Xenopus tropicalis: one gene and its partners. The protein of the gene in region 1 purifies or fractionates together with the protein of each later gene. This does not show direct contact. Links are inferred from orthologs where the notes say so. Each region holds a gene or a part of one and is shown in the gene's direction. Other genes may lie near its edges. The genes, in order: map3k14, nfkb2, cad and timm13.

The links.
Region 2: the proteins of map3k14 (region 1) and nfkb2 purify together in Homo sapiens (affinity purification with mass spectrometry; 6 studies listed by BioGRID and IntAct, with this or other methods). This does not show direct contact. The link is inferred for Xenopus tropicalis from reciprocal best matches to the Homo sapiens genes MAP3K14 and NFKB2.
Region 3: the proteins of map3k14 (region 1) and cad purify together in Homo sapiens (affinity purification with mass spectrometry; 3 studies listed by BioGRID and IntAct, with this or other methods). This does not show direct contact. The link is inferred for Xenopus tropicalis from reciprocal best matches to the Homo sapiens genes MAP3K14 and CAD.
Region 4: the proteins of map3k14 (region 1) and timm13 purify together in Homo sapiens (affinity purification with mass spectrometry; 3 studies listed by BioGRID and IntAct, with this or other methods). This does not show direct contact. The link is inferred for Xenopus tropicalis from reciprocal best matches to the Homo sapiens genes MAP3K14 and TIMM13.

What each region holds. Positions count from the first base shown.
Region 1 is NC_030686.2:17,614,081-17,622,850, reverse strand, and holds the start of map3k14 (mitogen-activated protein kinase kinase kinase 14), read left to right. Parts: upstream 1-4,217; 5' UTR 4,218-4,421; intron 4,422-8,770.
Region 2 is NC_030683.2:43,659,093-43,666,781, reverse strand, and holds the end of nfkb2 (nuclear factor NF-kappa-B p100 subunit), read left to right. Parts: intron 1-1,039; coding exon 1,040-1,106; intron 1,107-1,208; coding exon 1,209-1,381; intron 1,382-1,488; coding exon 1,489-1,600; intron 1,601-3,861; coding exon 3,862-3,962; 3' UTR 3,963-4,545; downstream 4,546-7,689. UniProt on the Homo sapiens protein: NF-kappa-B is a pleiotropic transcription factor present in almost all cell types and is the endpoint of a series of signal transduction events that are initiated by a vast array of stimuli related to many biological processes such as inflammation, immunity, differentiation, cell growth, tumorigenesis and apoptosis.
Region 3 is NC_030681.2:162,291,179-162,299,178, forward strand, and holds part of cad (CAD protein), read left to right. Parts: intron 1-1,246; coding exon 1,247-1,432; intron 1,433-1,840; coding exon 1,841-1,953; intron 1,954-2,277; coding exon 2,278-2,426; intron 2,427-2,686; coding exon 2,687-2,818; intron 2,819-3,602; coding exon 3,603-3,836; intron 3,837-4,400; coding exon 4,401-4,622; intron 4,623-4,807; coding exon 4,808-4,996; intron 4,997-5,089; coding exon 5,090-5,214; intron 5,215-5,369; coding exon 5,370-5,503; intron 5,504-5,603; coding exon 5,604-5,716; intron 5,717-8,000. UniProt on the Homo sapiens protein: Multifunctional protein that encodes the first 3 enzymatic activities of the de novo pyrimidine pathway: carbamoylphosphate synthetase (CPSase; EC 6.3.5.5), aspartate transcarbamylase (ATCase; EC 2.1.3.2) and dihydroorotase (DHOase; EC 3.5.2.3).
Region 4 is NC_030677.2:92,862,908-92,870,972, reverse strand, and holds the end of timm13 (mitochondrial import inner membrane translocase subunit Tim13), read left to right. Parts: intron 1-1,505; coding exon 1,506-1,574; intron 1,575-3,633; coding exon 3,634-3,732; 3' UTR 3,733-4,614; downstream 4,615-8,065. Other genes in the region: tmprss9 (transmembrane protease serine 9), read right to left, coding at 6,281-6,442. UniProt on the Homo sapiens protein: Mitochondrial intermembrane chaperone that participates in the import and insertion of some multi-pass transmembrane proteins into the mitochondrial inner membrane.

The sequences.
Region 1 (8,770 bases):
TACTGCTGTGAAAATACATTATGCCATCAGTGAAGCTTACAATCTAAGGTCCCTATCACATTCCCATCAGTCCCTGCCCCAGTGGAGCTTACAATCTAAGGTCCCTATCACATTTCCATCAGCCCCTGCCCCAGTGGAGCTTACAATCTAAGGTCCCTATCACATTTCCATCAGTCCCTGCCCCAGTGGAGCTTACAATCTAAGGTCCCTATCACATTTCCATCAGTCCCTGCCCCAGTGGAGCTTACAATCTAAGGTCCCTATCACATTTCCATCAGTCCCTGCCCCAGTGGAGCTTACACTCTATTATTATTTTATATCTCTTCCAATAGACCACTCTTCTGTTTTGGCACATGCAGAAAACTTCTGCTAAAGGAAGAAATATGACAGCTCCCAGGGGAGTAACTACAGAGGAAGCAGACCCTGCTGTTACAGGGGGGCCAGGAGTGTTGAGGGCCCAGAAAGGGTAAGGGCAAAGTCACACTGAGCTACTAAAGGTCCCCATACACGGGCCGATAGTAGCTGCCGATATCTGTCCCTTGGAGCAATTCAGCAGCTAATTGGCCTGTGTATGGGCACTTCCGATGAGCCTGCCCGACCGATATCTGGCCTGAAATCAGCCAGATCTCAATCGGGCAGGTTAGAAAATCTAGTTGGATCGGGAGCTGATGCGGTCCCCGGACGGACTTTACCTATGCCCATCATTATAATTTGATCGTTTGGCCCCAGGGGATTCTCCCGATATCGCCCACTCGTAGGAGACATGTCGACATTGCAAAGCGAGCGGATCTGCCAGTGTATGGGGACCTTTAGTACCAGCTACTAAAATACCCTGCCATAGACAATACTGAGACATGTAGAGACAATTATCAGTAAATGATCAGCATTGTCTATTATTGTAGCCATGACAAGTAAGCTACTTTTTCACGGCTACTAAATGCTAGAAAATATCCTGCCATAGAGAATACTGAGAATTGGCTCTGCTAAAACACACATAGAGACAATTATCAGTAAATGATCAGCATTGTCTATTTTAGTAGCCACGACAAGTAGCTTTGTGTGTCTTCACCCTAAGGGCAGTGGCACAAGGGGAGATTAGTCGCCCCGCGACAAATCTCAGTTACTGTGGGCGACTAATCTCCCTGCAATGCCATCCCACTGGAAAGAATGTAAATCGCCGGTAGGATGGCATATGGGTCGCTTTGTTTTCTCGAAGTCGCCCAAAGTTTCCTTGAGAGGCAACTTCAGACAACTTCGCCAAACGAAGAGTCAAGGGAGCACGGACTAGGGGTAGGCAGGAGAGGTACCTGCCTAGAACCCCCCTATCGTTGCGCCCTAGGCAGGTGCCTTTTCTGCCTATCCCTAGTTTTGGCCCTGTATAAATGTGTTTTTAAAGGGTAGCAGGAGTGTGAAATGGTGTAGGCTTCTGATTGCACCCCATGTGTCCGTAATGCAAATATTATCTCCACTTCCGTCTGCATTAAATACTAACCTAACCAGAAGCTCCTGGCCCCTGGCCAGCGAGTGTGTAGAACCGGTTCTTTGTAAGCATGTGATGCAACGTATGCTTAGGCACAACTACGTGCAGGCTGCAGAAGCACAGGGTGACTATTAACAGTAAATTAAGATGAAATTTAAACATTTTACATTTTATGTGCATGTATATGTAACAACATAAACGTTACCCTAATGTATCTAGTGGATAACTAATTTTGTGCAATTACCTGCATCAAGACAAAATGCATCTACACAGGGTGCCTTTTATTTGACTCGTTTGTCTATTTACACAGTGATTCCCTATGCCACCCAGTGCATATGCTCTATAGTGATTTTCCTCAGAGGTGGCCAGGCGGCGGGCGTCCCCAACGCTCCCCTCCTGTGCACGCACAAAAACCGTGTGCGCGCTCAGACGTCGTAAAGGGGGGGTGCTATGAAATGAGCAGTGGGGGCAGGAGATCCCACACTAGGGTTTGGCAAAAAAGGTACCTGCCTAGCACCCCCTCAATGTTGCACCCTAGGAAAGTGCCTCTTCTGCCTACCCCTAGATCCGGCCCTAATTTGTCTGTCTTTACTATACAGGTCATGTGCTGGCCAGGGTGGCGCTAGAAATCACTAACAAAATAGACAAAGATGGTGGCACAGCTCTCTAATGGACATTATATGTTTTGAGATTCTGCACCAATGCAACCAGAGCCCTTTAGCAGGGAAGATCTGTGCCTCTGAAGATGCCCCAGTAGCTCCCCATATTCTTTGGGCTGCTGTCACTTACCTGAGTTTAGGGACTGACTCACAATATACAGTATATATAGAATATAAAAGTCACCAGACTAATTCGTTATTAATTCAGATATTCATTACATAGCAGCTCGGAAATCAGTGCGATTTGCATTAGAATTATTTAATAATATCAACATCTGTGACAGATGAACCTTGTATTCTGCTTGATGGTTTGCAACAATTCCCAAAGCTCAGCTTTATAACAGCTGCCTAGAACACACTGAGCATGTGCAGTGCCACCGTCACTCCTTGCAAAATCCAGGATAGGGAGCTCCTGTGTGCAGCTTTGAAAACCTGAATCATTTCTGCTGGACCTATAGGCTGGTGCATTAAGTCAGTATATAAAATATAAATATAGATAAATATACAAATATAGTTTTGAGAGTTTAGTTCTACTTTAAAGCTGTCAATGCTGCAAATGATATGGGGATTGAGCATTTATGAAAACAGGATATTCTATTTTTTAATTTCTTTAAAGAATTTTTTAAAATATAAAATAAGTTTGAGTTTCAGTGCTTTGAAATAAAAATATGAGAGCACAATTAAGGGCAGATTTATTAACATTCTGATTTTCATGGTTTTCGAGTTTTTTGAAACCACAACTAAACTCATTTTCTCTAAAACTATGAATGTCAAGTGATTTATTAAAGCAGCCTTTTAAAAAAAAAAGCACAAAAAAAAATAGGAAAAACACATAGGGGCTGATTCACTAAAGTCCGAAAAAACGAGTGCTATTTACAGCATGCGTTAAAAATATTATCTCTTCTTATTTTTTGCAAGTTAACGATCGATTTACTAAAAGGACACTTATCATAATTAAGAAGCGATGTTCTTGTTATTATTTATCTGGTGATGAGCGATTTTTAAGCAATATTTTAATGCATGCAATATATTTATGCGCTATTTCGTATCACATGATATTAGCGCACGCTATTACATACGTAACCATTACTTTCTGAAAACTACTGTTCTGAAAATTACCATTTCCCTGAAAACACAAGCATGCATCACTCTAGGAAGATCACATACTGCAAACTCCGACTGCAAACTCCATCTTGTCACCACAGCAATTTTGTTCAATAACGCCTACTCCTGGGAGGCGCTAAGTTTCACAGTTTTACGCATTTAACGCTTCATATGTTTGTAAATCATGGGTTAGTATTATTTCTATGCGATAATTACCGCAATGCGATAAAAATAATGCTTTGCGATAATGCGTTTTTTTGCACATGTGATATGAGTGTTAACCCATACGAAATTACTTTGATGAATCGGTACTTATTTATCGCATGCTTTTTAACGCAAAAAAATATGCAATAAGTGTTAACGACCTTTAGTGAATCGGCCCCATATTGTCACACAAACAAAAAGCATCAAAATAATCCAAAAACCTCTAAAATCACGAAGCAAAGAAAGATCTTCCAGCGGCAAAAAGGAGACCTGCCATGGACTTCTACATGACCTGGGCAGCTTTTAAGTGGAGGGTTTTTCTTTTTATATTTGTCGCAGGTTTGTTGCATAATAAATGGTAAAAAAAATCATATATATTTTCCTTGACAAAATTGTATTTTTGCACAAAAAAAACAACCTTTAGTAAATGCTCCCCTTAGAATTTGCTGTTGAGTCTAACCGAGTTTCTGACAGCTGTGTGCATTCTACTTTGCCTTTTCTAATACTGTTTTTTAATACTGTCTACTATTTATTTTTTTTACGAGCCTTCATGTTCAAGTGTTCAATTTAGAGATTGCTTGCTTGCATGTGAAAAAAATCTCACCCCCGCACCAGTTTAGAGCATTCTCTAAACCAATGGCTGTTGTCTTCCTGTAAATATGTGCTCTTGCCTGGAAATCCCATGAGCTGAGGAACCAATCAGAATGTGCCAATGAGCTCACCAAAAGAAGGGGGGGGTAAGAGACGAAGGGGAGGGTTATGGAAGAAGGAGGTGCAGTTGCTGCTGTACAGGCAGTTGAAGTTAGAGGCAAGTGCCTGGGAGAGAAGTGAACAGTCTGGGAAAAAGTAGGGAAAAAATCAGTGAAAACTGGAGGGTGGGAGGAAGGAGAGTGGGGAAGAGAGCGTGGACTTTCTGTGGATACAGAGGAAGAAGACAGTGTGGAAAACTGTAAGGAAAATAAGAACAGGAGCTGGTAAGCAGTGCCGGGCTGAGTCTGAATGGGAGGGTTGTGCTTTTAAGGCAGAATCATGGCGCCTAATAATGTACAGTATATACTGTAGGTGTCACTTGACTTGGGCGCTAAAGTTGGCTTCCACCAACAGCGTAGTAGGTGTGTCTACATGCAAGAGTGGTCAACAGTTTGTGTGCAAAGCACTCTGGGAATATATGCACACTGAGGGGGGTCTTAAGGGGTCAAAAGGGTTGATTGTAGGTTCCGCAGAATATTTCTATGCAACGCAACAATAATAGATCTGAGATGTAATGTACAGTACTTACTGTATGTATCAGTTGTCTTGGGTGCTTAAGTGGGTGGGAGTATTAAGGGATCAATAGAATTGACTGGATTTGTCAACCACCTTAGCTTTGGCACAGAGTTGCAGATACATGAAAACTTTGTGCCGTCACCCTGCTGTAGTTCTACGAGTATGTAAATAAGTGGAGTACAATGGGCGGTGATAATAAAAGAACAGTTGATTTTGTGCACATTTCGCCACACTTACATGTGAGCAGAGGCTGCCATACCGATTGCCTTGTCTAAGGTAGCCTGGAAATACAAGTTTATGACCAGCTGGAATAGGATTCCTCCGCTCTTGCAATATGGCAGCTTCCACTTTTGTGTAAATGTAAGGAATATTCCTTGCACATCCACTACCTATACATAGTTTAACAAGAAAAGTTGTATAAGAGAAACACAACTGGTATAAGGATGATAAAGATATAAGGATGATTTCACTTTTACATGAGATGAAGGGTTTGCCTGTAGCCGTGGTGTATGAGACGGGACCCAAACTTGCCCCAACTGTAACCTTGGTTGATTCCAGGAGGCCTTATTATGGGGTTAAAATGACTATTATTGCTTAAACTCAATGTATTCTTTTGCATAAAGGTTTACAGTGAGTATTTAATTATTAATCCACTTTAAGCCAATGAATAGCATCTTATTTTTTTGGAGATAATGTCCTTTTAAATGCTTGGTGTGGGGTGAGTGTGTGTTATTTTGGCATGGTCTGTTACATGAGTGAATTTACATGAGAGATCCTGTGCACAAGTTCTGAGTGGGAGGCCAATGCTGTGACTCATTCGTCAATACTCTAACTTGGATTCCAATCCAATCAGACAGCCCTCCCACATGTCCCAGCCTGATGGCAGCTGGTGTGTGTCTTAGTATTACTTGAAGTACAGAAGTACTGCTTGGGTACTTACTCCAGGTGGAACTTACTGCGGGTGCAAGTAGGGCAGTTGCACTTTATGGGTAGGTGGGCCTCATTACTGATATCAAGAAGGAAACTTCTTACTCCAATGTATGCCACTTCTGCACATGTTGGAGTCCAGCAACATCTGTAGGGTGGCAAATTGGGCAACAGTGGCATGAAATATTACTCCCACTATCTTGGCCTGGTAAACCAACTACCCCTTAACTGCTGTTTTTCAGGGTGTTGGACACGGGCAGTTACTTTTGTTTGTGTTCCCAGTAGATATATCCACCTGGAAGCTGTTGGTATAGGAGCAAAATTGCATGGTGCAACTTTTCTACTAGGGTATGAAGCTGTAGATCTTATGGTATTAGAACTTTGGCACATATTGCAGCAAAAATAGCATCTTCCAGATGAAAACTTGCGGATCAGTAAAATCCATGATTGTCACCTAGAAAACATGGATGGCTGCATATTAGGCAAGAATCACAGACCATAATCTACAAACAGCTCCTACTGCTGGTGTCAATAAGAAGTGACCAGTGGTTATTGGTATCATTGATATCATTGTTATCATTGTTATATTGTTATCGCTAATTTGACCTGCAGTGATTGCCATTGTTTTATCACTAATTTGACCTGCAGTGATTGCCATTGTTTTATCACTAATTTGACCTGCAGTGATTGCCATTGTTTTATCACTAATCTGAACTGCAGTGACTGCCATTGTTGTATCACTAATTCAGACTGCAGCAATTTCCACAATTTCCGTCTTATCACAACTTTGATCTGGATTAATAGCAACACTTATACGCATGCCATGAGCCTAAAACTAGATAACAAAGTGTACCAGTCTGCATTTTTACTTTTAAGTTAGAGATACACCCACAATCCACCTTGTCAGACCTTTCTATAGAAAAGGTCTTCCGTGTCACATTGCCTTTAGCCTGGATTTATCATTGAGGAATGCATATAGAGGTATTCTTTTTATAACCCCACAAGAAAACATCAGATTGGCAGACCCCTAGGTTGCACCTTCTATTTAAAATATAAACTCAATGCACTAACAGTGGTCATTGGTACTTACATGCTATAGTGCCCATTTTTTGGGGCAATCTTGGGATCAGTGATGGTGAAGAGGTAGCACAAAACAAAAGCAGTGAGTGGTGAATTTGGGGTGAATTTGAAAATGATTCTGCGTTCAGTGTTGGTGAAGGTGCAGTAAATGAAATAAAGCCATACATTAGAGTGTATCTGCACATGGCCCTGAGAGCAGTGATGATGAAAGAGTAGGACTTGACAAAGGGAGCAAGTCAGGGCAGATTTGGTCATGGTTCTATTGGCCAAAAATGTCCCGAATTTTGGATCCTCTCTCTGGCCTGTTGACTTGGGCTACTGTCAACGATTAAAGCAAATCTGGATTGTTTATTGGATCTCTTATAATAAGGAAATAAAGGTGGACAATGGTCAGATGACTATGTGCATCTATGTAAAAACTTAGAGATGGATTGAACCCATGATTCAGTTTGGGATTTGGACATCATGTGACTTTAAAAGACTTAAATACAGAGCAATATTTTGTTCACAGATAATATAATTTTTTATTTGTTTCAAATTTGAATATACAAGTAGGGTTTTGATTTGGTTCAGCATTTGACCAAATGTTGTATGGAGGATTCAGTATTCAGGCTAAATCGATAATTTATGGATTAGGTTCAAAATGTCCTGTTGATGCCCATTGCATCCAAGTTTTACTTGCAACACGGACATCATCAATAGCATATGCGTCATAGAGGCCAGTCATTTCTAGGACAGACTGCCCAGGTGTGCCCGAAGAACTACATAGGGGGTATGGTTGAAATTTGGGGTAATTCTTCATTTATTTTTGTGGTTTAAGCTGGAACCAAAAGAAAGTGCCTATTTTAGCCATATTTCCATCAGTATGTTACCTTGTTACAAACTTGTTCTGCGCTGCGCAAACTAAATGTTGGGCAGAAAAGGGGTTCTTCAACCTAAAAAAAAATTTGAAAAGTTTTGCTAGGGCAAGGATGGAAGGGGTTAACCAAATACCAGCAGTTATTGTTGTTGCCACTCCCTGTGTCTTTGAGATAAGGATTAGAGAGTTTTTGTTTGTATATGGTTGTAGTCCTAAGAGCTGTGGAATCTGTGTTACTCACCAAAGTATGTTTTGGTGTATATGAACAGTTATTAGCATGGACTTTGATACCAGGATCACTGATTATACACCACTATACTAGATCCAGAGAAAAGCAATTGCACTCTCTGCACTAGTGCCCCAGAATTGCCACTGTTTTAATAAGTGGTGTTTTGTCAATAGTTCTTTGTTACTACACTTGGTATGCAAAAGAGCATCTACCCTCATTCAGGGTAGAGTGAAAAGCAGTAGAGGTATGGGACCCATTATCTAGAATGCTTGGGACCTGGGGTTTTCCAGATAAGGGGTCTTTCTGTAATTTGGATCTCCTACCTTAAGTCTGCTAAAAACGTTATTTAAACAGTAATTAAACCCAGTAGGATTATATTGCCTCCAATAAGGATTAATTATATCTTAGTTGGGATCAAGTACAAGGTACTGTTTTATTATTACAGAGAAAAACTAAATCATTTTTAAAAATGTGAATTATTTTATTAAAATGGAGTCTATGGGAGATGGCCTTTCCGTAATTTGGAACTTTCTGGATAATGGGTTTCCGGATAAGGGGTCCGATACCTGTATCTTTTTTAACTCTATGGGATATGGCATTAAACTGAGTTTTCTGCCACCTGTGTGATGGCTTGGCAGGTGGGCAGGCAAGCAAACACTCAAATTTGGCTCATCATTGAGTATATGGTAATAATAATAAAGTGGGTCAGGGAAATATGGCTTTACTGTTTGTAATTTACAATGTCAAGTGTTTCTGACCAGTGATGCACCAGTAAGGTCAGAGTTATTACTATGTAACTCTAGGGGGCAAATTTGAGTGTTTTACTGCCTGCTGATCTGCTGGCAAAATGCTTGAATTCGTACTATGTGCCATAGTCTCTAAATGGGCAGAATACTCCTTTTCAATGTGAATGCAGTAAACAGGGCCTGTGTAGTAAATGCTTTTCACCTATTGTTTCAATC
Region 2 (7,689 bases), on another chromosome or scaffold:
TTGAATGGCTGCCCCCATGGCTACATAGCAGCTTATTTATATAAATTATAGTAGACTTTCTGAAGTAAACACACAACTTTTACCAGTGCAGGGCAGCAGCACATTATATTTAAGTTACTTTTATACACTTTCATTTTTTGGTGTTACTGTTCCTTTAAAGGAGACATATTGTGTAAAAAACCATGTGCCAGTGCATTAAACTCCTCTATCTATAGAAAGAATGTTCTTAGAAAAGATAAGTTTTGAGCTGATTTAAACATTTCTGCATAATCCTAAATAGTCCCACCCATCTGTTTCACTTCTTGCTTCACTTCCCAGGCTGTACAGGGGAGCCGGCGGCACTCATGAACCAATCAGCAGCTAGGCTGACCTGATAGGGAACTGAAGCCTGTCCTTGCGTGTGACTGCAGGGCTGTGATTGGCTATCCCCCTCCTACTGTGCTTCTGGCAGGGACTGTTAGAACACACCTACCCCTTATCTGAAACAGGGACAGGGTCTGTAGCAGATTTACAGGAAGCTCCAAAAAAGGGGCCATTTTTAAAGAGACCAGACAGCCCAGAGTGAAATCAGCACCATTTATTATTTATTGTTGCCTACAAGATTAGAGAGGTTTTCAGTTATGCTATATGTCTTCTTTAACCTTTGTCAGATGGGGCCCTGGTTTATAGCAGAGGTCAGGTATGGCAGCCTTGGTTTAGAATGCAGTATGAATGCATCACTACTTATAGGATAAAAAACATACTTAACGTTGCATGCAACCTCTTTAGTGGCATACTATATTATATGTATATTTGCTGCCATATTATCTTGTATATTGGCCAAAATATATACTGCCCTCTAGCTTCCTCCTACACCCATAAGCCCTGTCTGTTAAGTGTGTAAAACCTTTCTGTTAGCTCAGCAAAATGAAATCAAAACTTTTCAAAATAAAGAATCTCCAAACTTGAACCCTACAAATTGATTTTGAAAATGTAACTAATGAGTTGCTGCTTTTATTTCTCAATGGCATAAATTAATATTATACTTTGATTTCATTAGGTGCGAGATATTTTGTCTAAACACACTCCTGGCAGTGCATCCTGGAAGCGGAGAGAACCAGAGCCAGGTAGTGTATGACTCTAGATTCACTCTCATTATCACTCTCACTGCAGATGGAGTCTATTTTCACTGATCCGTCGCGCTTACATTTCTTTATATTGAATCCTAGTAAACGTTCTTGCTCTGGAGACCAACACAGTACAGCGCCTTGAAAAGCTTTTGAACGAAGGTCAGACTGGGGCAGACTGGACAGAACTCGCGTCAAGGCTGAGACTGCAGAGTTTAGTGGAAACCTATAGGAACACTTCCTCACCTACTGAGAGTCTCCTGCGCAGCTATGAAGTACGGAGTCGATTCACATCTTATCCTTTTAAACTAATTGCTGTAGCAGCCATTATTCAGTGCAAAATAGGAAACTCAAAATAAATCTGCACTTTTTTTCTCTGTAGCTTGCTGGCGGCAGTCTTACAGAACTGATTAACACTCTCCAGTCGATGGGATTGAATAAAGGAGTAGAACTCCTGTGTAAATCAGAAACCTATGCAAAACATCAGAGTCCAGGTAATTCCTCTTAGTCTGACCCTGCTCATGTTTATAACCTAAAATATATGTTTTAGCAGTTCATGTGACTCACTTGTCTATAACCTCATCGCTAGTTAGCAGCTACAGGTTTGCCTGTGCTTCTTAATTCTTAAAGGGAAATTCATTCTTACCTGGCAAAAATAAATATATATTTTTACATATATATATAATATATATAATTCCTATAATTAGTAGGAAACCATAGTCATATGATTATGCCTCACCTTGTTCCATGTTGTGGAACCATGTTGCCCTGCCTCTGGCTCACAAGGAACATTTCTCCATCCCCACCCCTTGACTTCCTCCTGCTTTTTTTGGGTGGGAGGTGCACAGATTTACTTGAAAGCAGAGAGACTTCAGGGGAGGTGAGTAAATGTTCCCTTCAAGTCATGAGCAGACTATCATGCCTCTCTATCTGAGAAACCCGGTATGTCTGTTTAATAAAAATAAAAAATGTATTTTTCTTGACAGTTCAGATGGGCAGGTGTGCCATCACCCTTACTGCACATATTAAGCTAAAACAAAATATTTGCCAAAGAAATCCACGCTGGTATAATGCCCTTGTATCCCCAAGCTGCTCCCAGCACATATTTAGCCTCTGCTTTGGAGTATTAATGCTTCTGTGTTAAGCCACTCTATTAAATGAATGAGTTCCTGCTGAGATACTTAGTGACTTCTGTGCTAAAAGTTCAGCTTGAAACTTAAACAGCATCGCTCATCCTTTTAGGACTTGTCTTGCAGTTACACAAATAGCTCGATGTCATCACTCTTTCTTTATATCCTATTCAGCAATCCTGAAGTGACCTACTGACATTTTTATTAAGTGTTGCTACTGTGCTGTGAATCTGTTGGCACTAAGCTGCATGCTATTGTACATCTGAGTCACATCTAGAAGGAGAACAAAGCCTGCCATATTGGCGGAGTAATTGCTCATCTCTCTTTTAGCCCTTTGTCTACATTTGATGTTTTATAACTTTTATAGGCGCCAATGGGAAAATGTTTTATTATACAATTTGCGTGTTAGTATCCACTCATTGTATTTTGGAAATCTTATTAAAAACTGTCAATATTTGAAACAAGTAATAACTATGGGTAGGGGGAACAGTGTGATTTGGTGGCACCTTCATTGCTGAAGAGGGAAATTCTTGGTGACTCAATAATAAACCAAAGCTGTTGTACTGTGTTAGCCAATCAAAAGCTTATAGAAGAGGAAACATAGCAAAAAGTGGACCAAAGGAGCTCTAATAATAATCACATTAAAACATGCTCTGAAAGCCTGTTCTGCTTATTATTGTAATTATCCAAGTTAGTGCGCCTTTACTCCACTCTTTATGTTTCATCTCAAACGTGCACCCACAGTGGCTTTTACTCTCCATATCAGTGTCCCGTGCATGTACGAAGATGGTCAGTTACAGGCATCACACACATGCATGGGCCAGTGATTCCGGTAGCCAGATGGCCATTTATGAGATTGCAAATAGGTAATGGCACGTGGGGTGTTTCATAGCTGTAATTCTCTTCACTTCTGCAGAATTGGGAATGATCTGGTGGAAGCCATTGTTCTCTTGTGATACTTGCTTAGTACACGCTGGGATGTACCATAGGCAGTAAAATAGGAAGAGTCTGCCTTTGGTTTAGAGTGTTTTGTCCAACCAAGTGTATATTATTTCATTAAAGGGGTGGTTCACCCTTAAGTTAACTTTTAATATGATAGTAGAATGTTCTATTCCTAGCAACTTTGCAGTTGGTCTTCATTGTTTAATTTTTACAATTTTTAAATTATTTCCCTTCCTGTTCTGCCTCTTCCCAACTTTTAATTGGGGGTCACTGACCCAAGCAGCTAAAACTCTATTGCTTGGTGATCTTACTATTTTATTATTGTTACTTTTTATTCCTTATCTTTCAATTCAGGCCCAATCCTATTCATATTCCAGTCACTGCCTGGTTGCTAAGGTAAACAAGACCTTGCAACCAGCTGCTGAATTTCCAATTCAGAGAACAGCTCAAAAATAGCCAAATAACTGAAAAACCACAAATAATAGAAAAATGAAAAACAGTTACAAATTGTCTCGGGATATTAATGCCTATGTCTGCTAAAAGTTAATTTAAAGGTGAACATCCCCTTTAACAATGTCACTTTCAATATACGGTAAATGTAATTCAATTCCAGTACAGTTAAAGTGTTGCCCATTGTTGTGCAGTTTGTTTTGGTTTTTTTAAAGTTGCCTTTTTCTCACCAGCAGAAGGGAAGAACGACAGCGCTTATGAAAGTCAGTCTATGGAGGTGGATCAGTCGTCTGCAGAGCTTTCCCCAACCACAGAGCCAGCTATTGGACAGTAAGCACCAATCACACAGTGCTCTTTGGAGGAGAAAAGTGCCTGGACCTGTGACATTACCCTGAGGTCTGCGAACTCCGTGCCTCGAGTCTGTCTGACCCCAAGTGTAGTTGTGCTGTCAATGGACAATTCTGACTTTAAGCATTTATACTGAAAGATCTGGATAAGGAGACACTGGCTGTTTTTAATGCTTGGCTGCAGTAATCATTTTCAGGAATATGCAATAAACCTGTAAGAGAATAAAGAGGTGTGACAACCTCATGTACAGCCCCCCACAGTCCCCCAGGGATTTTTGGTGGTGCGTGAAGACAAAAAAAATGGCCCTAAAAAATCCTATACAAGGGAATTGAGATCTGGAAAATTGCCCTCTGGTCAACTCTTCACTCTAATAATATGCTCTTCTGTATGAAAATGGATGCACTAGTCATTAATAGGGTTTTAACTTCTGCGGGTGATTTTCCTTTCCCAAGCAATATTTTTATTTTTTTAATTGTTTTACTGTGTGGTTCTGTCCATCTTTGCCTTTACTCTTTTATGTAATATTTAAATGTTTTATTTTTATTACAAATAAATGTAATTTAGTCAAATTGTTTTTTTGTGATTGTATGAGCCATAGGAAATGACTGCATGTCCCACTCACGCATCATGGCCCACTGCGCTGCCATGAATTATAAACCCCCGCCCATCTCTAATATCATTGGGGGTGGGCAAAAGTTTATAAATCAAAAATGCTGGCATGAATTACAGCCCATCATCACAGAGCATAGGCCTGCTCCCTGCTGATAAGTAATTCATCGGCTGAAACCCACCCAACCAAAGGGTAGAAGAGGTACCTTCCTAGGGTGCAACTGGGGGAGGCACGTGAGTCAGGTACTTCTGCCTAGTCCAGGCTTTCTTGGCCCAGCCGCCACTTGACGCCATGCATTCCCCTGGCGACATCACAATCACACACTTGTAGGTGTGCAGACTCATGTATGGGAAGGGCTGGGGGCTTTTGGGTTGCCTAGTGCCCCCAGCCAGCTTGGCCCACCTCTGGCAAGACTATTAGGTGGCTATAAGTTAGTTGTTGATTTCACTGCATTACATGAATATAATTCACTTTACCATTTAATATGTTATTCTTGAACCAACAAATGTATTTTTTTTAGTTGTAATATTGGTGTGTAGGCGCCATCTCAGTGCATTGTGCCTGATTCTGAGCTTTCAGAAGAAGCCAGTGCTACACATTAGAACTGCTTTCAGGTAACCTATTGTTTCTCCTACTCCCATGTAACTGGAGGAGTCCCAAGCCAGACTTGGATTTCTTACTATTGAGTGCTATTCTGATACCTACTGGGTAAATGTCCAGAGAACAAGAAATCTGTTTTTTTTTCATCTTCCCCCACCACTATACCATGGTGTAATGAACATTCCAGCCATTACCTGCTGCCTAACTCTGTGCTGCAGTATTACTGAGTATATAGACACTGCTATTATCAGATGTAACCTTTTCTTGTTCTTTTAGCCTATTTGCATTTAAAGGGGTAGTTCAGCTTTAAATTAACCTCTAATATGTTAGAGAATAGCTGATTAGTCTTTATATTTTATTTCTTATAATTGTTATTATTTGCACCCATCTTTTGACTCTTTTTGACTCTTTTCAGCGTTTAGCTTTTGCTCTTTGAGGCTTTAATTTTATTATTTCTACTTCTGTTACTCCTCTTTCTATTCAGTCCCTCTCATATTCATATTCCTGTCTCTCATACAAACCACTGCCTGATCATTCAGGTAATTTGGATCCTACTCAGTTCACTGACTAAGAATTCCTGCAATTGGTCATTTCTCCCTGCATCTGAATTGGCCTCCTGTACACGCTGCCAATCATCCTATAGATTCCAAATAAATACAAAGCATCCGTAGTAACAGTGTTGTTTTAATTTAATAAACGTATGGAAAAACCGAACACATATTTTTTTTTTTTTTTTACAAAGAAAAACAGTTTGGCATTTTTTTCAGTTGCATGACTTGCAGTCAACCAGAAGAGAAAAGAAAAACATTGTATTCAACATTCTTAGCATTATTAACTAGTGATACAGTAAGTACATCCTCTGAGCAAAATACGTACAAGCCACTGGCCTCATGTCTAGAAACAGAGTCCTTCGGCTGCTAAAGGGGCACAGCCATGGAGCCAGTCCTTCTGGCAGCTAAAGGGTTAAACATTAGGAAAGAACATTGATCAGAAACCGCAGGGCCCTTTTGTGCTGCAGGATGCGCAGAACATTGCAATCCCAAAACTACAAAGGAATGAGGAAACGAAAATCATGCTCTTTATTTGATTACACAAAGCATAGCACTGATCTAACAGGAAAAGAAAAACCATTACCGTGTTCACACACAATATACACCGAAATGCATTGCTGACCCCCCTTTGAGATCCGAATATCTTGCCCCTGCGTATGAAATAGCTGCTGAAAGCATGCATACAGGGTCAGGGCTTGTCAGACCTTCACTCGCTGATCCACACCAACCACTGGATAATGAGGGAACGTCTCAAGGCAAAGCTCGTACAGTCGCAGTCTAGCCAGGAAATATGTGCTGCTTAAGGCTGGAACGTATGGAGCGCTGACCTCTATGTCATATTCTATCACTCCATCTTCTACTTACGTACAATAGCTTTCATTTATTGTGGAGAAAATTCCGTTCTGCTTGTGGAATCCGAATTTGACATGAACAGAAGAATATTAACCCAGAACTAAAATGATTATGTTAATCAAATATTCCCTTCAAATGGCAGTAGGTGGCATCTATATATCTGCACTGAATGATACATACAACTCCTTATGATAAAATGCATATAAAAATGATTTCCCAAACCTGTTGGGGCTCATTTAACTTACTTAAAAATTGTAAGGGGGAATAATACCAGTGATGTAGTCATGTGTTGTTTTCATTCTGAGAAATGTTTCCACCCCAAAAGTCCCCACTTTTATACATTTTTAGTGTCTTCTGTGCTGTTGCTTGGCAACCACTGAGATCACATCAGGAGGTAGAAACCAGAGAACTATTACATCCCCTTTCCACTAGATTTTTTTTAGAAAGGTCAAAGTATTACAGAGAGAGAGAGAGAGATGATCCCTCAGCCACGGGCACACAGATATTTAGGACTATGCTACTGTCATCACAGGCAAAGTGGCCATAAAATAATGTCTTTTAATTATATCAGCACGTCTGATATTTAGCCAAGATAGGAGGCGTAGATACCCTATGTTTGAGAATTAAATGTTAAGCTTAATGTCTTTTCCTGCAGGCCATCATGGTTAGCAAACCCTGCCCGTATCAGGCACAGGAAGTAGAGGGAATGGTATTGCTACGGAACCACTTGCTATATATCCACATTCAAATTGCTCTCTCTGGCCGAGGTCTGTTGCACATAAACTGGGGAAGGGGGTGCTGTCACATGACTCTTCTACCTGCCTGGCAGTCAGCAGGACTACTAGCCAAGGGCCAGTCAGGAGGTCTGTTTGAGATGAACTTCATATACTTTCTTGTTCTTTCCATTTACAAATACTTCCATTTATGCAGTTTTTATCTCTCCAGCAAATCACAGGAACAGTTTGGGATCATTAACTTTCCCTATGGAATTATAATTAAATTATTAAAAATAATGAACTGAAATGTATACAGAATAATTATTTTAACACTTTGTTACGCAAATGGCACTATATTTTTTATTTGCCATGTCCCAAAATAAG
Region 3 (8,000 bases), on another chromosome or scaffold:
TTTTACCCACCCAGTTAAGGGACAGCTTTGGAACGTCCCCTAACGTCTGCACTGACAGGAGGGCCGATAGAGAAAAGGAGATTTTATACTCACCGGAAAATCCTTTTCTCGTAGGCCCGAACTGTCAGTGCAGTAAGTCCCACCCAGGCTGATTTAGTATGGGCACCGGGACCTCTCTTCTCGCTATCTTTCTACCTTATGTCTCTTGGCCTTCCTTCTATCTGTACTGTCTCCACCGACTGAGCTTACCAACAGAACTGAGGAGTGAGGGTGGAGACGAGCCTTATATACAGTGGGAGGGACCAGGAGCCACTAGGTCTAAATTCTCTGTCCTGCCTCCAGAGGTGATCACAGACAAAACCCTTAACGTCTGCACTGACAGTTCGGGCCTACGAGAAAAGGATTTTCCGGTGAGTATAAAATCTCCTTATCTGATCCCCCCATTGTAAGCAGCAGTCCTGCCCTGCTTTATGGCTGAGATTCTAGCTATCTGTATAACAGAGCATTCTGTCACAGTGGCACAGATCCTATCTGATCCCCCCCATTGTAAGCAGCAGTCCTGCCCTGCTTTATGGCTGAGATTCTAGCTATCTGTATAACAGAGCATTCTGTCACAGTGGCACAGATCCTATCTGATCCCCCCCATTGTAAGCAGCAGTCCTGCCCTGCTTTATGGCTGAGATTCTAGCTATCTGTATAACAGAGCATTCTGTCACAGTGGCACAGATCCTATCTGATCCCCCCATTGTAAGCAGCAGTCCTGCCCTGCTTTATGGCTGAGATTCTAGCTATCTGTATAACAGAGCATTCTGTCACAGTGGCACAGATCCTATCTGATCCCCCCATTGTAAGCAGCAGTCCTGCCCTGCTTTATGGCTGAGATTCTAGCTATCTGTATAACAGAGCATTCTGTCACAGTGGCACAGATCCTATCTGATCCCCCCATTGTAAGCAGCAGTCCTGCCCTGCTTTATGGCTGAGATTCTAGCTATCTGTATAACAGAGCATTCTGTCACAGTGGCACAGATCCTATCTGATCCCCCCATTGTAAGCAGCAGTCCTGCCCTGCTTTATGGCTGAGATTCTAGCTATCTGTATAACAGAGCATTCTGTCACAGTGGCACAGATCCTATCTGATCCCCCCATTGTAAGCAGCAGTCCTGCCCTGCTTTATGGCTGAGATTCTAGCTATCTGTATAACAGCGCATTCTGTCACAGTGGGATTAACCTGAATGTTTGCCCCCAGGTACGGGAATCGTGGGCACAACCAGCCGTGCATCCATGAGAGCTCTCGGCGCTGCTTCATAACCTCACAGAACCATGGATACGCCGTGGACCCAAACACTTTACCGGAAGGCTGGTCTCCTCTGTTCACGAATGCCAACGACCAATCAAATGAGGGAATTATCCATGATTCTAAGCCCTTTTTCAGGTACTGGGGGGACGGGGGCAGAAAGAGTGCAGATGCAGGGCAGTATGGGGGTACAGCATATTGTACATTCCTTCTCTGTATATTTGTATTTATACATATGGGTAGGGGGTGCCATAGTGTTTCCCTTAGACAGTACAGTATGGGGGTACAGCTTATTGTGTGCCCAGAACATTCCCTCTCTGTATATTTGTATTTATACATATGGGTAGGAGGTGCCATAGTGTTTCCCTTAGACAGTACAGTATGGGGGTACAGCTTATTGTGTGCCCAGAACATTCCTTCTCTGTATATTTGTATTTATACATATGGGTAGGAGGTGCCATAGTGTTTCCCTGTAACATTTCCGTTGCCGCTTGGTATGTTTAAGAGCCCCAGCGCTTGCCCTAATGCCCAGTTCTTGCCCCCCAGTGTGCAGTTCCACCCCGAGCACTGTGCTGGGCCCATGGATCTGGTCGGCCTGTTTGATGTGTTCCTGGACACTGTGAGAGACCGGAAGGCTGGAGATTCAGGAGAGAAGACGGGTGAGTGGAGGGGCTATGGGTACTAGGGGCCCGAGTGCTGCCCGTGGGGCAGTAACAGAATGGGGGGGGGATACACACTGTAACCTGGGGCAGATGCACCATAGGGGCCCGAGTGCTGCCCATGGGACAATAACAGAATGGGGGGATATACACTGTAACCTGGGGCAGATACACCATAGGGGCCCGAGTGCTGCCCAAGGGGCAATAACAGAATGGCAGGGGGATATACACTGTAACCTGGGGCAGATGCACCATAGGAGTGGGAGCTGATGGCTCGTGAGTCTGGTTTAGGGATTTACCCCCCTCCCTGTGTTCCCCCCCCAGTTAAACAGCGAGTGACTGAGCTGCTCACATACAAGGAGTCTCCCAGTGTCACAGACCTAGAGGCCTCTCGCCCACACAAAGTGCTGATCCTGGGCTCAGGGGGGCTGTCGATTGGCCAGGCCGGGGAGTTCGACTACTCTGGCTCCCAGGTACATTTCCCTCCCGGCCGCAGTGTTATTGCCCCCCCTGCACCCCCCGTTCCTTCTCTCTGTATTATTTCTCTTCTGAGCTGTGCAGTGGGAGGGGCAGGCGCCATGTCCCATAACTCCCTGCTGGCTGTCATTCTGCAGTGGGAGGGGCAGGCGCCATGTCCCATAACTCCCTGCTGGCTGTCATTCTGCAGTGGGAGGGGCAGGCGCCATGTCCCATTAGGGGGGGCACGTGAGTTACTTTCCTTTGCCCCCTGCAGGCCATCAAAGCTCTGAAGGAAGAGAACATCCAGACTGTCCTGATTAACCCCAACATCGCCACAGTGCAGACATCGAAAGGCCTCGCCGACAAGGTTTATTTCCTGCCAATCACCCCTGAATATGTCACTCAGGTAAGTGTTTCCCTCCTCATCCTCTCTCTCCAGCAAGGAGGCTCCTGTCTCTATAAGGGGTTAACTAAATGGGTGGAGCATCACAGCTTGGTGTTTGTGGGGTTCACTTGGCAAGTCTATGCGCCTGGGAGGGACACGGGGCTCCCCTAGGGAATGGGAGCCCAGATGGGCCAGTACCATAGAAACATAGAACCCAGTAGGGGAAGAGACTGGGAGGGACACAGGGCTCCCCTGAGCAGGAAGTAAGGTGGGGCATAAATAGTTTGATCTCAGGCAGTTAGCCAATAGGAAGCTCTGATGGCCCAGTAGGGGAGGAGACTGGGAGGGACACAGGGCTCCCCTGAGCAGGAAGTAAGGTGGGGCATAAATAGTCTGATCTCAGGCAGGTATCCAATAGGAAGCTCTGATGGCCAGTAACCATAGAAACATAGAACCCAGTAGGGGAGGAGACTGGGAGGGACACAGGGCTCCCCTGAGCAGGAAGTAAGGTGGAGCATAAATAGTCTGATCTCAGGCAGTTAGCCAATAGGAAGCTCTGATGGCCAGTAACCATAGAAACAAAGAACCCAGTAGGGGAGGAGACTGGGAGGGACACAGGGCTCCCCTGAGCAGGAAGTAAGGTGGGGCATAAATAGTCTCATCTCAGGCAGTTAGCCAATAGGAAGCTCTGATGGCCAGTAACCATATAAACATAGAACCCAGTAGGGGAGGAGACTGGGAGGGACACAGGGCTCCCCTGAGCAAGAAGTAAGGAGGAACATGAAGAGTCTGATGTCCTTCCCAGGTGATAAAGAATGAGCGGCCAGATGGGATCCTCCTGACGTTTGGGGGTCAGACTGCATTGAACTGTGGGGTGGAGCTGACCAAGCAGGGAGTCCTAGAGAAGTACAATGTGCGGGTTCTGGGGACCCCTGTGAAGTCCATTGAAATGACGGAAGATCGCAAAGTGTTTGTGGAGAAGATGGAGGAGATTGGAGAACACGTGGCCCCCAGTGAGGCAGCTTTCTCCTTAGAGCAGGTAAGAGATTACTGTGGGTGTCTCTTGTGTCCGTGATATGGGGGGGCATGGTGTGACTGCAACTCTCTGCACAATAAGTTCCCCCCCAGTATTGTGAGATAAATACAGCATTGCACATAGAGCTTCTGTAGTCACGCACAGGAAGCAAATCAGCCTGGCCAATCAGCTGGGTAGGAGGATCTATTGGACCAACCAAAAAAGTCCCTGCTAAAATAATTGTGACACAGCAAATTCTCATGGTTTACAGTAAGTGCTACACATGTGATCGCCTGGCTACATGTATGTTATGTGCGTGTAGCAATGAGCCCTCCTCTTGTTATTGCACTTTATGTACCATCTGTGCCACCTGTGCGGGCAAGAGCCCAGTGATGGTGTATAACGCAGGGTGGCAGGGAGTGGGGTAAGTGTCATTTAAACCTGAAATCACAAATGGCACCCGTAATGAAACGCCAACCTGCCGGGAATCTTCCGGGTCCCTGAAACCCACACGCCTGGCACAGTTCTCTGCCCATATGCCCCGTGCCCACATGCTGCTTCTTTATATTAATGCTCTTGTGCCTCCAGGCCCAGGCTGCTGCAGAACGTCTCGGGTATCCGGTTTTGGTCCGGTCGGCCTACGCGCTGGGCGGCCTTGGATCTGGATTTGCCAGTACCAAGGAGGAGTTGACTGCCCTGGTGTGCCAGGCCTTCGCCCACACCACACAGGTCCTGGTGGATAAATCCCTGAAGGGCTGGAAGGAGATAGAGTACGAAGTCGTGCGGGACGCCTATAATAACTGTGTCACGGTGAGAATGCCCTACTCACGGGGTAGTGCCCAGGTGTGGGCGGCACACAGGGTTGGAGATGGGCTGGGGCTTTGCCCACCTGCTGACGCGCAGACCAGTCGTTCCATCATGGAGCCTTAGGGGTACATTGGGCTAAATGTGTGCCAAGTCGGTGCCGCTGAACCCTTCTGCTCTTCTCCTCCCAGGTGTGCAACATGGAGAACGTAGATCCCCTGGGCATTCACACTGGCGAGTCCATCGTGGTAGCTCCCAGCCAGACGCTGAACGATCGAGAGTACAACATGCTGCGCAACACGGCCATTAAGGTTATCCAGCACCTCGGCATTGTGGGCGAGTGTAACATACAGTACGCCCTAAACCCGGAGTCTGAGCAGGTAACTGGCACCCTGGAACCCAAACGGGTCATAGAGTCGGTCCCAAACCTGAAGGGCACTAACATATTGGGCTTTATTCCTTCTCCCCCCCAGTATTACATCATCGAGGTGAACGCACGGCTGTCTCGCAGCTCAGCCCTGGCGAGTAAAGCAACTGGTTACCCCCTGGCGTATGTGGCTGCCAAGCTGGCACTGGGAATTCCTCTGCCCGTTCTCAGGTACAGCGCTCTGTGGCCCTGCAAGTTCCTCAGCTTGTCCCTGTGGAGGCTAAAGACTGGGCCACTCATTTTGTAGTGTCCGTTGAGCTTTCCCTCTTTGTTGGGGGTCAATCACGCTGTGGATTTCACTTGTTATTGCCATTTTGTTTGCCCAGAAACTCCGTGACCAACTCCACCACAGCCAACTTTGAGCCCAGCCTGGATTACTGTGTGGTGAAGGTTCCGCGCTGGGACCTGAGCAAGTTCTTGCGAGTCAGCACCAAGATTGGCAGCTCCATGAAGAGTGTGGGTAGGTGAATATGGGGCTTTGGGGGGGGGGGGGGTATTAGATGTGGGAGGTGTTTGTTGTAGTAGCCCCTCCGTGGCTAAACTGTTCCCTACTTCCCTAGGGGAGGTCATGTCTGTTGGTAGGAACTTTGAAGAAGCCTTCCAGAAAGCTCTGCGCATGGTGGACGAGAACTGCGTGGGCTTTGATCACTGCATCAAATCCGCATCTGATGAGGTAAGTGGCACGTAATGGCTAATAATGTCATGTGTTTATGGGTTGGTCCTTATTGGGCGCTAAGTGTGCTAATTTGGCATCCAGGATTTGGTTTCAGGTTTTGGCCAAGATTCTGCCATTTTCAGCAGGATTTGGATTCTGCCCAATCAATGTGTCTGGCTGAATCCGAATCCCTAAAATCACATGAATTTTCACCACATAAACACGGAGGTTGAACATTTTTCACCATGTTCTGTGGGGTTCAGACGAATCCCAAATTAGTGGATACAGTGCATCCCTATGACAGCGATGTGTTCATGGGTCAGTTCTTCCTGGGCCCCAATAATACCATAATCTGTTCGGCCCACACCCCCTGTTCATGGGTCAGTTGGATCAACTAGTAGTTAGGCAGGTTATATATAGGCATTATGGTTGAACTTGATGGACGTATGTCTTTTTTCAACCCAACTTACTATGTTACTATGTATGTTACTATGTAGTTCTTCCTGGGCCCCAACAATACCATAATCTATTCGGCCCACACCCACACACCCCCTGTTCATGGGTCAGTTCTTCCTGGGCCCCAACAATACCATAATGTGTTCGGCCCACACCCACACATCCCCTGTTCATGGGTCAGTTCTTCCTGGGCCCCAATAATACCATAATCTGTTCGGCCCACACACCCCCTGTTCATGGGTCAGTTCTTCCTGGGCCCCAATAATACCATAATCTGTTCGGCCCACACACCCCCTGTTCATGGGTCAGTTCTTCCTGGGCCCCAATAATACCATAATGTGTTCGGCCCACACCCACACACCCCCTGTTCATGGGTCAGTTCTTCCTTGGCCCCAATAATACCATAATCTGTTCGGCCCACACACCCCCTGTTCATGGGTCAGTTCTTCCTGGGCCCCAATAATACCATAATGTGTTCGGCCCACACCCACACATCCCCTGTTCATGGGTCAGTTCTTCCTGGGCCCCAATAATACCATAATGTGTTCGGCCCACACACCCCCTGTTCATGGGTCAGTTCTTCCTGGGCCCCAATAATACCATAATGTGTTCGGCCCACACACCCCCTGTTCATGGGTCAGTTCTTCCTTGGCCCCAATAATACCATAATGTGTTCGGCCCACACCCACACACCCCCTGTTCATGGGTCAGTTCTTCCTTGGCCCCAATAATACCATAATGTGTTCGGCCCACACCCACACACCCCCTGTTCATGGGTCATTTCTTCCTTGGCCCCAATAATACCATAATGTGTTCGGCCCACACCCACACACCCCCTGTTCATGGGTCAGTTCTTCCTTGGCCCCAATAATACCATAATGTGTTCGGCACACACCCCCTGTTCATGGGTCAGTTCTTCCTTGGCCCCAATAATACCATAATGTGTTCGGCCCACACACCCCCTGTTCATGGGTCAGTTCTTCCTTGGCCCCAATAATACCATAATGTGTTCGGCCCACACACCCCCTGTTCATGGGTCAGTTCTTCCTTGGCCCCAATAATACCATAATGTGTTCGGCCCACACCCACACACCCCCTGTTCATGGGTCAGTTCTTCCTGGGCCCCAATAATACCATAATGTGTTCGGCCCACACACCCCCTGTTCATGGGTCAGTTCTTCCTTGGCCCCAATAATACCATAATGTGTTCGGCCCACACCCACACACCCCCTGTTCATGGGTCAGTTCTTCCTTGGCCCCAATAATACCATAATGTGTTCGGCCCACACCCACACACCCCCTGTTCATGGGTCAGTTCTTCCTGGGCCCCAATAATACCATAATGTGTTCGGCCCACACATCCCCTGTTCATGGGTCAGTTCTTCCTGGGCCCCAATAATACCATAATGTGTTCGGCCCACACCCACACACCCCCTGTTCATGGGTCAGTTCTTCCTTGGCCCCAATAATACCATAATGTGTTCGGCACACACCCCCTGTTCATGGGTCAGTTCTTCCTTGGCCCCAATAATACCATAATGTGTTCGGCCCACACACCCCCTGTTCATGGGTCAGTTCTTCCTTGGCCCCAATAATACCATAATGTGTTCGGCCCACACACCCCCTGTTCATGGGTCAGTTCTTCCTTGGCCCCAATAATACCATAATGTGTTCGGCCCACACCCACACACCCCCTGTTCATGGGTCAGTTCTTCCTTGGCCCCAATAATACCATAATGTGTTCGGCCCACACCCACACATCCCCTGTTCATGGGTCAGTTCTTCCTTGGCCCCAATAATACCATAATGTGTTCGGCCCACTTACCCCCTGTTCATGGGTCAGTTC
Region 4 (8,065 bases), on another chromosome or scaffold:
ATCAAAGTGTTTTAAAGTAGTTAAAATATGATGTACTGCACTAGTACAACTGGTGCCTTTTTTTCAGAAACTTTACTATAGCTTATATAAACAAGCTGAATGGCTCCCCACATGGCTACACAGCAAGGCCAAAAAGGCACAGGTTACACAACAGATAACGGGTAAGCTGTGCAGACTCAGATTTGTATACTACAGAGTTTATCTGTTATCAACCGTGTGTACTGTGCTTGAATGGCTGCTCCCATGGCTACTGAGCAGCTTGTTCATATAAACAAAAGTAGTGTTTCTGAACACTGAGTTTTACCACTGCAGGGCATCAGTACATTATATTGCCATTCTTTAAGATCACTTTCATTTTTAGAGGTTACTGTTCCTTTAACTAACTTGTCCAGGATCACAAGAAATTGCCACAGGTAAAATCAACCTTAAAGGAGAAGGAAAGTCATTTTGGCATTTTATTGCCAATAGATTAGCGACATTAGTGCAAGCTACAACGCTATATTTATTCTGCAGAAAGCTTTACCATACCTGAGTAAGCAGCCCTAGAAACTCCCTCTGTTTATTTAAGAAAGCAGCTGCCATTTATCTTGGTCTCCACAGCTTCCTGCTGCAGCTCTAGCTGTTAGTAGCATATGTCACACATTCTGATGGGAGGGGGATTCATTCTTTTAAATTCTTTTTGGAGGGGAGAGCAGGAGAGAGGAGAAGAGCTGCACAGACTCCGGGCCCTGAATGAAGGACTTTTCTGAGAGGAAGTCAGATACCAAAGTATATGTATACACAAAAGGAGACAAGAAATCCTGTGTTTCTTTTTATAGAGGACTCTGTGAGTGCTTATGGCTGTATTTACATAGACCATTCTGATAAAGCTTACTAAGTTCTTAGCTTTCCTTCTCCTTTAACATCTTGGTCAAAGTGTACTACAGGTCTAGTTAGTTGTAGCAATCAATCAGCAGATAGCATTTACTGGTCTTCTGTTAAAAAGCAAAGTATCGCTAACCCCTAGCTAAAAATGCAGAGTAGCACAGCAGCGTACCTGGCCGACATCATCTTACTAACTTAAGAGACTTTGGGTCTCTCTGCCGATACGAACCTGCTTGCGCATGTGCAGTTAGAGGTAGCAGGAAATCTGCTTTAACTGTGCATCAGCAGTGAGACCCGAAGAGTCTTCAGTTGGTAAGCAGCTACGCTACTTTGCATTTTTAGCTAGGGATTAGCGATACTTTGCTTTTTTTTTTTAGGGGTTAGCGATACTTTGCTTTTTAACAGAAGAGTTACAGCATTTATGAAACTGGTTAGGTAATTGAGAGATATTTGTTCTTACAGTGGTAAAATAAACATTTGGTCACAAAAGAACTAGTAGTTTATGCATAATGTGCAGATTAGGTCTCCTGTTATGGAGAACATTAGGTTGTGCAGAACTAATAAAGATTTATAATCAAATATTTATTATTCTATGAAAGGTTTTCTGTGTAAATACTGATCTAAACATACTCCTTTTGTAGAGAATGACTGATAAATGTTTCCGAAAATGTATTGGAAAGCCAGGTGGATCTCTCGACAATTCTGAGCAGGTATGTTCACCACTATACTTGGTGCCAATACACTAAACCGTTTCAACACTGAGAACTCATTTGCATGGTTTTTAGAAGATTGACAAGCAAGTAAAGATGTGACTATAATTGACAGGAGAATGTTGATTTACTGTGTAGGACAAGTTGTCTGTGTATTGGAGAGTGTGCTTTTGATTACATGGCTGCTTTAAAAAAATAAAAAAAGACAACCTGTGGTGCCAGACACAAACAAGATGTCCTTCTCACTCACCCATTAGCAAAAGGAGGTTAAGGCATTCTTTGTATTAAGCTACTAAAAATGCCCTCTGCCTTAAACTAAACAGAGATCGTTTCTCCATAAACTGCAAAACATTTAAGTTGTCTGACTATATCAAACTCATCCTATGGTGCCAAAATTTGTGTTGGCCTAATCTTACATTTGTGACAGTCTCGGCTGCATTTATCTAGAGAGAGAATAGAATGTTCTGAACAACTAGTATGTGCCACCATTTTGGTTTCTAATCAGATATTGTACTTCATTGTCTAAGGGCAGTGTCACTAAGGGAGATTAGTCACCCCGGGACAAATCTTCATTAACACGGCCAACTAATCTCCCCACAATGCCATCACACCGGCAAGAATGTAAATCATCGGTGGGATGGCTTATGCATTGCTATGAAAAACAAAGCGGCATGTATGCCATCCCACTGGCGATTTATAATCTCCCCACAATGCCATGCTACCGGCAAGAATATAAATCCCCGGTGGGATGGCATTACATGTTGCTACGAAAATGAAGCATCACGTATGCCATCCCACTGGCGATTTGCATTCTTGCCGGTGGGATGGTATTGCTGGAAGATTAGTTGCCTGCGGTGGCGAAGATTTGACGCGGGGGCAACTAATATCCCCGTGTGCCACTGCCCTTAAGCTATCCATACACAGGCTTGTTTACCCACTCCAGATGTTAGGCCAAATTGAGTTGATGAGTCCCACTGCACTGGAACACAAGTGTTAACTAACCTGAGTCCCCTCTAAGGGAATAGTACCCAATGGTCCAGTTTTTATGTCATCACACTTTTTTGTCATCATAAAATGAATACCTCCTGCATCCCTTTTGTTAGCTCTCCTTCATTGATTGATTAGAATCTTTTTTTGCTTAAAACCTTTTTGCTCAGGCATAACTGCTAATTGATTCAGTCTACTACCAATTTAAAAATGAGAGCAATGACCTGATTAATTGCTATAGACAACTGCATTGCACTGTAATTGAGCAGTTGTGTTTGTAAATCAACCCCATCCAGCTTATTTCAGAAGATGGGCTTTCATTGATTGACTGTCATTGGTCATTTACTTTCATTGTAAAAGGTGGGTAAAAGATACTGGGGCAGGGCAAAGTGTGCAGCAGATGGCATATTTTCATAATGGCGGTGACTCAGAGCCCATGTTCCAGGGGGCCCAAATGCTGTGTAGCTGGGGAGGGAGCAGAACTGCCTGGGGCCTTTTCTTAAAGTAGAAGGAAAATAATTTTGAGCATTTTACTGCCAATAGATTTGCCACATTAGTGCCACATAGAATGCTATATTTATTCAGCTGAAAGCTTAACTATACCTGAGTAAAGAACCTTAGTATCTCCCTCCGATAGCAGCTGGCATTTTAGCTTGGTCTTGGTAGCTTCCTGCTGCAGCTGTGTTTCTTTTGATAGAGGACTCCATGCAGCTTTTCTGTGAGAGCTTATGGCTGTATTTACATAGACCTTTCTGATCAAGCTTACTTGGTTTTTACCTTTCCTTCTCCTTTCAGGTGGAAAATGTTAATCTGCCAACCTTATTGAGAAATTTAAAAACTCAGACTAAGATTTAACTTGTCTTCCCATGGAGCTACTGTTTTTCTTGTATAAAAATCTCTACATAGTTTATAGCTTTACTGTTGGAAAAGTCCACCCAAGAGTCGACTTTTGGTTGGAGAGCAAAATATTCATAGTGTCAAAATATTTTGACTTTTCAAAACCATAACACTCAGATTTTTTTTTCTTGCTCAGACTTATTTTTGTAATGCTTCATTATCTTTCTCTCTGTAGAAATGTATTGCAATGTGTATGGACAGATATATGGATGCCTGGAACACAGTTTCTCGGGCATACAACTCCAGATTGCAACGAGAACGTGCCAAGATGTGACCTGATAAAAGAACACTGCAAGACCTATCTACAACACAAGCACTGAGCTGATTTAGAAATATAGAAAAGGACAACTACCAGACAATGATACATTTCTAATTAAAAATGTTAACTGTTAATGCAGGAATCACTAACTGTTATTGACCATGTTTTAGTTTATTTCAAGGGTTAAACAATAATTTAACGACTAGTCAATACATTTTTTTTCCATCATACTTGAAACTCTAGAATCTATAGTGTTGGCACTGGTAATTTTTTCTCAAAACCTATTTTCTTAAAGAGTTAAATCTCATAAGCCATGAAGTTTTTTTTACAGCTGCTGTTGTGCAGCCATCCAGTTCCAGATAGGCAGGATTTACATATGATAAATTGCTGGTTAATTGTAGTTTGACTTTTTTAGTCATAATAGCCCTATTTTCCTTTTTATTTTTGTGTGTCAGTGCTAAAATAAATATTATATTCCTGTTGGAGGTCTTAGAGAAATTGGGATTTCTTACCATAATTAGAGAGCTAACCGCTTTCTCCAGCATCACATAATATGACCGATGTGTGGGAAATCCTGTTTTCTAGAGTATGGAAATAAAACAATTTTTGTAATGTGTCCGAGGCCTAAACCTTTTGTATTGACGGTTGCATTTTCCATGGAACTCTGCAGATCTAATGCAAAACTATCTAATTTGTTGGTAAATTAATGTGTTTTCATACATAATTGCAGCAGAACTTTGGTCTTGTGTAGGATTTCATTTTCCAGACAAAATAATAAATTAATATATGGGTACATTAATTGCATAACTATAGTATTTAAAGCTAAAACTGATTTTGCCAACTTGCTGAGCCTTCAGGCCTTGTTGGAATGTTTTGAATAAATTCTACTCTTTATCAGTGGGATAAGTATGCATCATTTTACTTTGAGGCTACAGACATATTGATAATTTTAAAGACTGAAGAGTAAAGTCTCAAAGGCGTCCACACACGTGACAATTACAATGGTCGCAGGAAGATTGTTTTCTCTACTAATGTTAAGAGCTGAAATGCAGGTAGAAAAAAAAGAATTCTACCTCTGACTATTCAACATTAATGTTTTGCTGATGTCCTTTGAAGGCACCATATTAAAACTTTCCATACTTTCCAGTTGGTAAAATGACCAATATCCAAGGCTTTTGCCAATATTGGCCACCTTGTCTCCCACCACACACAAACTGAATATTGTTGGAAACCTTGTTTCATACCATAATTTCGCTGCGTTGCATGGCCACCTTTGCTCTCCAGTCTGTGAAACTACTGATATGTTTGTGGTTTTAATCATTTGCCTATGTAATTGATCTTGGAAGCTCATGAAACAAGATCAGAGCTCTTCTAATACAAACATGAGCAACCTAGGTAAATACATGACCTGTGATAAGATTTTCTCAGTACAAATTTATGTATTATCACACAACATTCTTTGAGATTAAAAATGTATGTACTGCACTCAAAATTTGTGCTCTCACAATTGCATAGGGGTCATCAATATTTTATACCCCTCTCTATTGAATTCAATTGCTAAGATTAGTGCAGACTTAAACATGCGTGTTCACGGTAACGTAAGATCTGATAACTGTACTCAAATGTGCAGGCACACATCTAAGTCTGATGAGGCATGCCTGGCAAAGGTAAGAAAGATGATGACCCTGCATTTTTTTCATAAATGGAGCCCTGGTCCGATTGAAAAAAAACCCTGTAACAATTGGAATTCATTAGGGGGTGCATAACATATTGGCAATTTTTATTGCTATTGCTTAGTAAGTTTTTCTCACACTTGCTTTTCAGCAAAAACACTGAATCCTTTTAAAACTTAAGCAATATTTCTATTCTATACACATAACAAGGCTAATAGTCTTATGGTGGTCATACACGGGCAGATTTCAGCTGCCAATTCGGTCCTTTAGATTATTTCAGCAGCTTATCATATGTGTGGGTCCCCTGAAGGGCTTGCTGACAGATACCTGGCCTAAAATTGGCCAGATCTTAATCTGCAGGTTTGATTCTCCCCTCACATCTGGAACCGCAAGCTTGTTAATGCGGTTCTCGGTCCAACGACTCATATACCCGCCTTTTTTGTCGGACCGATCAGCCCTAGGGCTAAGTAATCGAAAGACTCTTAACGTGTATAGCCACCTTTATGGGTCAGTTACTCTTTATCTGAAAGTGTAAAAACTTTTCTGGACAGGTGTGTATGACTTTCCTGAGTGTAGGAAATATATTAAGTCATTTGTTACATCTCCACCCTGAATCCTCTGTTATACATTAAGATCTGTTACACATAAGCACACTTACAAAGTCCTTATACGTTGTCATAATAACAGGTCACCTTTATTTATAGAAAATATACTCTAAATGTTCTGCTTTGAAAGCATACAAGTGAATAAAGCAATATGGGCAGTAAAATGTCTTTTGGGTTAATTGCATATGTTTGATGTAACCAGGTGGTAAATATGGCCCTTCAAGTTTGTCCCACCAGCTATTTCCAAGTGGCTGCCCATCTGTGCCACACCCTGAGTCAGAATCTTCATAACCGTAGATTCTGTCCAATCCAGTTGCGGACAGATGTTATCCGAGTGTAAACTCCTGGGAAATAAGGCCTTGCACAACCATAACCCCAGCTGGTTATTCCTGCTAGAAACCACCGACCAGATGGCTCCCTACATGCCAAGGGTCCCCCAGCATCACCCTGGAAAGAGAAAGCACATACATTAGAAGTGGACAATGGCTTGCTCCTGATTCAAATATAAAATTGCCTTACTTTTACTACTTTACAGTAAAAAGGCAACACGCACAAACATTTAGCTTGTTCATTCTCTCTCCAGACCATGTGTGAAGGTTAAAGTTTGCTTGTTTACATAATATAATCTAAACATAATAAATGAGGTTGCAAGAAAACATGACCATCAAGTTCAAGCTTCAAGTGAAACCTGGCTAACTACTAAATGATCTAAAGCAGTGCTGTCCAACTGGCGCGGCCCGCGACCCCCCTCTGTGTGGCCCCCCACCTGTCTGGCTGCTTTGATGCCTTACTCTTGTGTAAGCTTTAAATGGTAATCAGTACTGAGATTAACTGCCCCCCCTGCATGGTTCACACCTCAGATTCAGGCTGTAATCCCCCTGTATTGTTTAAAAATGTAATCCCCTGTGTTGTTCACACCTTTTAATCTCTGCATTGTTCACCCTCTGCAGTGTTCACACCTCAGGCTCAGGCTCTAATCACCCACAATGTTCCCCTTTTCACACCTCAGACTGTAGGTACTGCAATTAAAATTTTTTTTAATATATAGTTATTGTCCAGACTGTAGGAGCAGTTCCAGCATTGTGTCACTGTATGCTGCCTGTGTGTGCCATACACACACAGGCAGGGTAGGGCAGGCAGAGTATGGCACACACAGGCCAAGAATGGCACACACAGTCAAAGTATGGCACACGCAGGCAGTGTATGGCACACACAGGCAGTGCGGTTTCAAAAAGGCTTCCATTATCGGCCCTCCACCACGTAGGTCGGAAAAATTCCGGCTCTCGGTACCACAGAAATTGGACAGCACTGATCTAAAGCAGTGCTGTGCAACTTCTGTGGTACCGAGGGCCAGAATTTTTCTGGCCTACATGGTGGAGGGCCATTAATGGAAGCCAGTTTTGACTACCCTTTTTTAAACTGCACTCACTTCAAACCACACCCATGTTATCACAAGAGCTTTTAAGACCATACCCACATTAATAATGGTAGAGCAGCATGGTTGGTGCTCACTGTAAGGATATCACCATTCATATGTGAAAAAATTATATTGTCATATTAAGACACACTTAAATCAGGGGTCCCCAAATTATTTTTTACCAGTGAGCCTCACTGAAATGTAAAAAGGCATTACAAGAATAAAACATGTTTCTGGGGGTGCCAAATAAGAACTGTTATTGGCTATTTGGTAGCCCCTACATGGACTGGCAATACACTTGGTTTTTATGCCACTGAAACTTGCCTTCAAGCCAAGAATTAAAAAATAAGCACCTGCTTTAATGCCACTGGGAGCAACATCCAAGGGGTTGGAGAGCAACACGTTGCTCACGAGCCACTAGTTGGGGATCACTGCCTTAAATCCATTTGCCTCCTTCTCCCCTGTGGGTAGCACAGCAACCTCCAGCATATAATTACACACATTAGGGACTATATAATGACTATTTTCAACTGCTAACAAACTCCCAGAAAAAAACCCTGCCAGTTTCACCTCCCACAGGCATCATAGGGCAGGCAGAGTATGGCACACACAGACAGCATAGGGCAGGCAGAGTATAGCACACACAGGTAGCA